Linked DNA regions of Lonchura striata. Each later gene encodes a partner of the first gene's protein in a complex. Links are inferred from orthologs where the notes say so. Each region holds a gene or a part of one and is shown on either strand. Other genes may lie near its edges.

Region 1 (3,744 bases):
GCGGCCCTCGCTTCCGCGGAGAGCTACGAGGTCATTCAGAGTCAGGAGGGCTTGTTAGAAGCAAGGAAAGAGTTTCAAGGTAGGTTAAAGCTTCAGCCTTTTTGTTTGGACCTGTCTGCTGGCGTGCTGGTTTTTGGAAAAGTGCTCCGGCAGGTTTGTTTGTGCTGGTGCAACATGTTTGTGAGACCTGAGAAAACCTGCACAACTCTCTCAATGTATATCTTTAGAATGTGTTTAATCTGCTCTTGATACAAAGCTCTGCAGGGCAAGAGCTTTCTTTTTATTATGTGTCAAAATTATGTATCTAGAACAATGGTTTTTAGATCGATTTTCAGATTACTAGATACTTTTCTAATGGAAGAAATAAATTGTGAAAGTGTACTTGAAACATATGTCAGAGAGAACAGTACTTCTCCAGTACCAGGAGTGCCTACTTTATTTGGCATCATATTCTGCATCAAAGCTTGATGACTTCTGCAAGCTGCTGGAAAATACAGCGACTATGCAATCCACTATCCAGTTTCCAAATAGTAATAGGGGAATCACAGTGCCCAGAGTAGAAAATGTCTGGTGTAGTGTGGCAGAATGGGAAGCACTGATTGACAGACCTGATTTCAGGACATGAAGCTTGAGTCCATCGATATTTACTAGCTCTACTTCAGCGGTGCTCCTTGAGGCACCCAAATAGGATCAGATGAGAGCCTTTCGACACGCTTGGACCTTCATCTGAAATTGCAGTAATTCTGCCCAGACAGTGCATATCTCTGGTGTTAAGCCTAACTGAACGCCATCTGCCTTGTACAGAGTCAATTCAGGTGTCTTTTCCTTTGTGGCCTTAATTGCACTTGAATAATTTGGAGTCATCTATTTTTCTAGCCATTTCCCGGGGCCAGATAAACGCACCCTGCGAGCCGAGTTTAGCGCAGGACCGTGACTGGCCATCAGCGCTACATTTCGGGGGTCTCCGGTCCTCCTCCCCAGAAGGGCTCCGTGGGGCGCCGACAAAGGCAGCGCGGCCCCGGCAGTCCCGCGGGGAAGGGCGGGCTGCGGGAGCGGCGGCCGCCAGGCCTTCCCCTCCCCGGGGCTGCGGGGCGCTCCTGCGGCGGGGCCGCCGCGGCGCGGGAAGCGCACACGGGTCCCGGAGGGGAAAGGACGCGGTCGCGGCGGCTCCCGGGGCGCAGGGAGCGGAGGCAGCAGGGGTCACCCGCCGGGGCGAGGCAGCGCTCGGCCCCCCCGCAGCCGCCGCCGCCGCCCCAGGGACCGCCCCGCGGCCGGGCCGCGGCGGGCGGGCGGCGGCGGAGATTGACGGGCGGGCGGCCCACCCGGAGGGCGGAGGCGGCGGGGGCCGCCAATCAGGGGCGGCGGGCGGGCGCCGAGCGGCGGGCGGGCGGGGCGCGGGCTGGGCGTGTGCCGCGGCCGCCGGCGGGGCGCGCTCCCGCTCCGCTCCCGCTCTCCCCGCACGCACATTGTCCGGGCGCGGCGGCGGCACAGCGCCCCGGCGCCCCGTGCCAATGCGGGGCGGGCGCGGCACGCCGGGGGCGCCTCCACCACCGCGGTGGAAACTTCCCCTCGCCGCCGGGCCGACGCGCGGCTGAAGCCCCCGGCGGGGAGGAGCGGAGCGGGGTTTCGCCCGCCTGGGGGGGCGCCTCGTCTAGTTTGGTTTTTCCTACATTGGAAGGGCAAAAGCGAATACTGCTATCCGGCTTTAAACTTCCGCGCTCCGCTCTCCAGGACGCGCATCCCGGCCGGCGGGGTGGGCGAGCCGGTGAGTGACCGCCGGGAGCGGGCTGGCGCTGGGTCGGGGTGGGTGGGACGCGCCGTCGCGCAGGGGCAGCGCCCACCGGCTCGGCGGGGACGGGTCGGCAGCGCCGCCGCCACCTGTTAGCGGGGCTGTTCCCCCCGCCGCCAAGTTCGTGCCCCCACTGTGCTGCGGCTGTGCCCGCCGTGCCCGGGGCGGCGGTGAAAAGGAACGGACCCTCGGCCCGGTGGGCGGCGGCGGGGCCCGGGGTGTTGGGGGCGGTGGCGGCCACCCACCTGCTCGCCTGGCCGCGCCATGACTCTGCTGCCTGGGCGCTGCCTGCCGACCCGAGCCCCGGCAGGCCGCCGGCGTGGGAGGGTGGCGGGGTACCACCGAGCCGCAGCCTCTGTACCCCCTTTGCCCTCCATGCTCTCTGCCCTCCATCCCCTGCCCTCCTTCTGCCGATTCTGTGCACTCCTGTCCTCCTCCCAGGCTGCAGCCCTTTTTCCTTCCCTCCCTTGCCGTCCCGCGCCCCTCCGTCTCCCTTAGCTGCAGCCGTGTTCACCTCCTCTTCTTCGCACCCCCAGTTTGCAGCCCACTGCACCCGTCTTCCCTCATCCCCTTGCATCCCTCACGCTGTCCTGTGATGCTTCAAAAGGGGAGCAGCAGACTCCCACTCTTGGCCAAAGCGGGTACCTACTGGGCTCTGACACCCCCAGGAGAGACCGGCTCCCTGGCGCTGCCAGGCGCCGCCAGGCCCGGAGCGAGGCGCGGAGAGGGCAGGCAGGTGGCGGAGGCGCAGGTATTGGTGTGCAGCTGTGAGCGAGTGAGCGAGGTCCCCCGTTCTGCGAGCATGCGGCTCTGCGGAGCTGGTGACACCTCCCTCCTCTCTCTCCCTCCCTCCGAGGGACGCTGGCCGCCGGGGCTCTGCAGCGTGCCGAGCCTTCCTGCGCCCTGCTGCCCTGCCAAGGGTATCGCGCCGTCCGGGGCTGCAGCGTCTTCACCCCAAGTGAAGGTGCATCTGATGGCTCGCTTGGCCCATACAGCTCCTGACTGGGAATGTGTTTTGAATTGCCTCAAATAGTGGAGCGTGCCTGGAGACAGATGATGAGAAGTCAGAGTGGACTGGCAAACTCTGGAGCTACTGGAGAAATGCTTAGGACAGCTGGAAACAGGACTGTGCAGCAGGAATGGCTTGTTAAGCCATTGCATGGCAAGTCAAGCCATTGACTATTTCAGTGTCCTGAGTTGGATGGTCATATCGCTTGTAGCCTGTGATACACAAGTTGCTCCTGGGTAGGTCTTTGAAATGCAGAAAAGGTATGAACTCCTGGTGAAGCTGTGTCACGATGTATTTCAGTCTGGTTGGCATGGGTAGGATGTGCATCTTGGAGCAGGAACTGGTTTTGAATGGAGGAAAGCACATGAGGTTTGGTGTGGGCTCAGCTAAAGAGTTGCTGTAGTCAGAATTGCTGATGTGTTTATCCTTCACAGTCGTGAAGTATTTTAATTCTACAGCTGGTGATTTGTGTCATTTTCCCAAGTGTTTTTAAGACAGCCATGTCTGAAGCTATGTGTATCACCCCTCTGTGTGTCTGGTCGTTTCCTTCTCCTCGTAAAACGTTTTTTCTGTGTGATTAATAATGTGCCAACTGCTTCATTTCAGCACTGGGGAGGCTGATGCTGATTGATTTCCCTTTTCAGTCTTCTCGGTGGGTCTGGAAGCTGATGGGTGTTATCACTGCAGAAGAGTCTGCTTTTGGGTGGGAGCTGTCAGCATGTCTTTTTTTTTATCTCAGCTAACTTCTTACTTCTTTTAATTAAAAAGAGATGAAGTATGCATGGTAATACCCTTCATGTTTACATAAAAATGATCTTGTAATTAGCAATAATTATCTCAGTTTGGGATATTGCTGAGATATTTAAACAGGACTTATGACCTGAGGGACACTTTTCTGGTCCCAGGGTGTTGCCCTTGTTGTGGCTCTCTCCTGTGGTGAGTTTGA
Region 2 (3,744 bases), on another chromosome or scaffold:
TCCTGTGCGTCCCACCTACCATTAATCTGCAATATAAACACACCACTGCTGTGCTACATAAAAATGAAAACTCCCCGCCACACTTGAATAGACAAGCCTCATGTTAGTTTCACTCTAGGTCAGAGATTTAAAAAATCAACCCTACTGGGGGATTCTGAGTTTGCTAATAAAGAGAAGGTCTTATATGTTAATATCCTCCCATGGTTTGAATATTAAAGAATACACACTAAAAGAACACATATTCCCCAAACCTCCCTGAGCAAACTATATTACAACATCCTTATGCGAACTGCAGAACCTGCAGGTGCTTCATTTCCCATCTCTTCATACTAGTCACTGTGAAAGCCAGATGGCCAACTTTACACTATTTAAAAGTATACTCATGTTTAAAAAAGCACTTCTTAACATCTTTACAGCCTAAAAATTAGAAGACGAGGAATTCATACTGTATTTGGTTTGTGTTCGAGCTTTTTTGTTTGCTTTGGGCTTTTTTTTTTAATTTGCAAAACAAGCTCAGAGAAGCTTGTTATAGAAGCTATTACAATTTTATGTCCTACTTAAAAGGACAATGGCTCCTGAAATCCTAAGAGTATGTAACGTAATGCTGAAGTTAACTCTGTCAGTCAAGTTATGACAGAATATAAGGAATGAACCCAAAATTTCACAGATTTTTAGGTTAACTTTCTGACCTATCTATATATATCTCTTTAAATACAAATGTATGTTACTCCCTAAATTATCCACTATACTTGTAAGAACTACAAGAACAACATATTTATAGAAATTATACTAATGAAAAAATGTAAGCCTCTGAACCATTTCATTTTGGGGAGAATATGATAAGGAAATGGAAGAAAAGATTTATTCTCTATTCTAATACACACCTTGGAAATGCTTTGAGTAAACCTGTAAATCTTCTACAGTGAAATCCAAAGGCTGTGTTTAGAGTACTTACTAATTTCATGGATTCTCTATAACATTACCCGATCTTATATTTCACACAACTTCAACAAAGAACTAGTCTGCCTCTAGTGGAAGATTCTATTACTACCACTAAAGGAATCTAAATTAACCTGATGTACGGATAAATACAATAAAACCTAACTATAAGTTTACAGTTTATTCCAAATGTCTCCTCTCTCCAAGCACAACCTATATAAAAACAACTCTAAATTGGTTGAGCAGCAAGGTAGTTAAAACATTTATAAAAATACCAATCGGTTAACACTTTTAAAATTAAGAAATTATTTTAATTCCTTTTAAATCCATGATGCGAGAATTGAACTGCCTGAATTTTTAAAAAGATCGAACATGTGGACATTACTTTGGTTGATTATATATAAATTCGAAAAGGTAAGTTATCTTTTTTTTTTCAGCAGAAAGCAATACAATACAAAATGATGACATGGTAAATAAAGTCTTTTATGCCATGGATTTTTTTTTTCTATTTACTATTTATTTGTTTTTCTTTAGAAATTAAGGTTATGACTCTACTGTGAAGGGGATACCAGTGACTGGAAAAGTCTCCCCAACAGGTAGTTTAAACCACAAGCAGAATACCTCACTCTTCCTGGCAGCCTCTGCAGTACTGCTATGAAAACTTGCAAAAAACTAACTCAGTCGCCCTTTTCCCGTAAGCTGATCCCACTCAGTACAGGAGGACCAGCTCCCCGTGAAGGGGAAGGAGTCCAACCTCCCTGCTGCTGCCGCTCACTCTCCCGACTTTCGGGTGGGCTGCGCTCCGCAGACTACGGGCAGTGTCCCCGCGAAGCAAACTTCCTGCTGGAACGGAACCAGAGGAGGGAGGGAAGGTGACGAGGTGGGACGCAAAGCTCCTGCGAGACTTCCAGCCGAGTTTGACATACACTTTTCTCGGCTAGCGGTGGGGGGTCGACAGCACGGTACCCACTCCCCACAATGACTGAGGCGGGGGCGGTGGGTACTCACTGATTGGTGGGGGGCGCGTTGAGCGGAATGGCCACCTCTTCTTCCTCGTACTCCGGTCCGTCCAGTGAGTCTCCCTCGTCCACTGTCCCCAGCCCCCCAGCCAGCGGGGGCGGTGGTGGCGGCGGCGGCAGCGGGGGGAAGCCTAGATCGGCAGCCCCAGCGGTCGCTGGAGGGGCTGGCCCCGCGCCCAGCTCCAGCAGCCCCAGAACCGAGCACAAATCCGGCCCGCCTGGGGGGCCGCCGCCGACAAGGAAGAGGCTTTGCGGCTCCGGCGCCCGGCCACGGCACAAGGCGGGGCAGTGCCCCAGCTCTCCTGCTGCGGCGGCTCCCGCCGTCCCGGCGACAGCGCCCGAGACTCCCTCCTCACCCGTGGCCTCGGCCGCCATCATGTTGAGCCTCGCCAACGGCCTCACGCCGGGGAGGAGGCGACAAAGGGGCTCTGGGCCCCTGCCCCCAGCGCGCCTCCCCCCGACGCGGCAGGCAGCGGACTCGGGAGGCGGCTGAGTCTTCCCGGCGGAGACGGGCCGGGAACAATGCCCGGCTGGGCGGGGGCTGGACCGCTCCACAGGGCCCCGCGCGGCTGCCTCGGTCCGCGACCGCCCCAGGGAAGCGCCGCCCTCCTGGGGAGCTCCGCGCTTGCGCGGCACCTCTGCGCCTGCGCGGGCGGTACAGCGCCGGCCGGGCGCAGATAGCTGCGGATAGCTACGGTTATGCGGTCTAGGGAAATAAAGGGCTCGTTCCGCGGTCGAGTGGGTGGGAACGTGCGGGGGTAGGGTCGGATTCACTAGCTCAGCCCAACATAAGTACTGTAACTCTGGACCCGTATGATCCAGTGCCAGATCCGGAAGCCTTTTGAACACCTCCAGGGATGATGACTTCATTATCTCCCTAGGCAACGTGTTCCAATGCCTGACCACCCTAACAGTGAAGAAAAGCTATTGGGCGTCTTCCAGCTCAGCTTATTCTGTATGATTCTGTATAATCTGAATCTCTTCCGTCTCAGTTTGAAGCCATTTCCCCTGATCCTGCCACTGCAGATACAGTAGAAGAAACCAGTCCCTACCTCTCTATGCCCTTCCTTCAAGTATTGATAGAACAAGTGGAAACGGTTTTGTCAAGGGGACATTAGACTGGATGTTAGGAAAAAATATTTTATTGAAAGGGTGGACAAGCACTGGAACAGGCTCCTGGGGCAGCACCTGTCAGTGTTAGGTTCATGGTTAGATTTGATATGGGTAGTATTTACCAACCTTAATGACTTTGATTCAATTCTAACTATGGATTTTAAAAATACATCCTGGTGGTACCGTTTACCTTGTAAGAACTGTGACTAAGAGTCTGCTTTACTCTGTACTTCTCTGAAACTGTATTTTTGTCATGTTACTCAAGCTTGCAAACTCTCAATCCCACCTTAAGCAAATCTATACCTAAACTTCACTATCAACCATTTTTCTCCCTAAAGTGGGTTTCTTTCATACATCAGCTTCACTTCATACCTCTGGGATCAAGAAGACATCATGTGATGGCCCTTACCCGGCAGTACAGTATGTAGCTATCTTCAGATTTTTTTGTTTTTTTCCTCCCAGTGCTAAAAGAGCTGACAAATAGCAGCACGTTTACACTTGCATGCTTCTCTGCAGTTCTCAAAAAGCATCTAAACATTCAGGTTTTCAAAGCTTTGTGTTACCCAAAAGTATTAAGTTAATTTTTCCTGAGGCAATTAGAACAATCTACTGCTCCCACTTTCACAGCTCTCAAGCTCTTTTTATCTGCTGAAATTGTTTCATATCTTTCCTT

Evidence for each region. The genes of interacting proteins can lie anywhere in the genome.
Region 2: the proteins of HRAS (region 1) and RASA1 are in contact, whole or in part, in a crystal structure (PDB 8BOS), measured with the Homo sapiens proteins. The link is inferred for Lonchura striata from reciprocal best matches to the Homo sapiens genes HRAS and RASA1. Residues at the interface, in NP_001123914.1 of Homo sapiens: Gly12, Gly13, Ser17, Ile21, Gln25, Asp30, Glu31, Tyr32, Asp33, Pro34, Thr35, Ile36, Glu37, Asp38, Ser39, Tyr40, Arg41, Gln61, Glu62, Glu63, Tyr64, Ala66, Met67, Lys88, Lys117; in NP_002881.1 of Homo sapiens: Gly746, Arg749, Glu783, Thr785, Thr786, Arg789, Ala790, Thr791, Glu799, Lys803, Ser833, Arg894, Gly898, Phe901, Leu902, Arg903, Cys906, Pro907, Leu910, Asn911, Met914, Arg928, Ile931, Ala934, Lys935, Gln938, Asn939, Asn942, Val944, Ala948.

Annotation. Positions count from the first base shown.
Region 1 is NC_134608.1:44,540,606-44,544,349, reverse strand, and holds the start of HRAS (GTPase HRas), read left to right. Parts: upstream 1-1,503; 5' UTR 1,504-1,765; intron 1,766-3,744. UniProt on the Homo sapiens protein: Involved in the activation of Ras protein signal transduction. Ras proteins bind GDP/GTP and possess intrinsic GTPase activity.
Region 2 is NC_134642.1:53,188,700-53,192,443, reverse strand, and holds the start of RASA1 (ras GTPase-activating protein 1), read right to left. Parts: upstream 2,453-3,744; 5' UTR 2,337-2,452; coding exon 1,948-2,336; intron 1-1,947. UniProt on the Homo sapiens protein: Inhibitory regulator of the Ras-cyclic AMP pathway. Stimulates the GTPase of normal but not oncogenic Ras p21; this stimulation may be further increased in the presence of NCK1.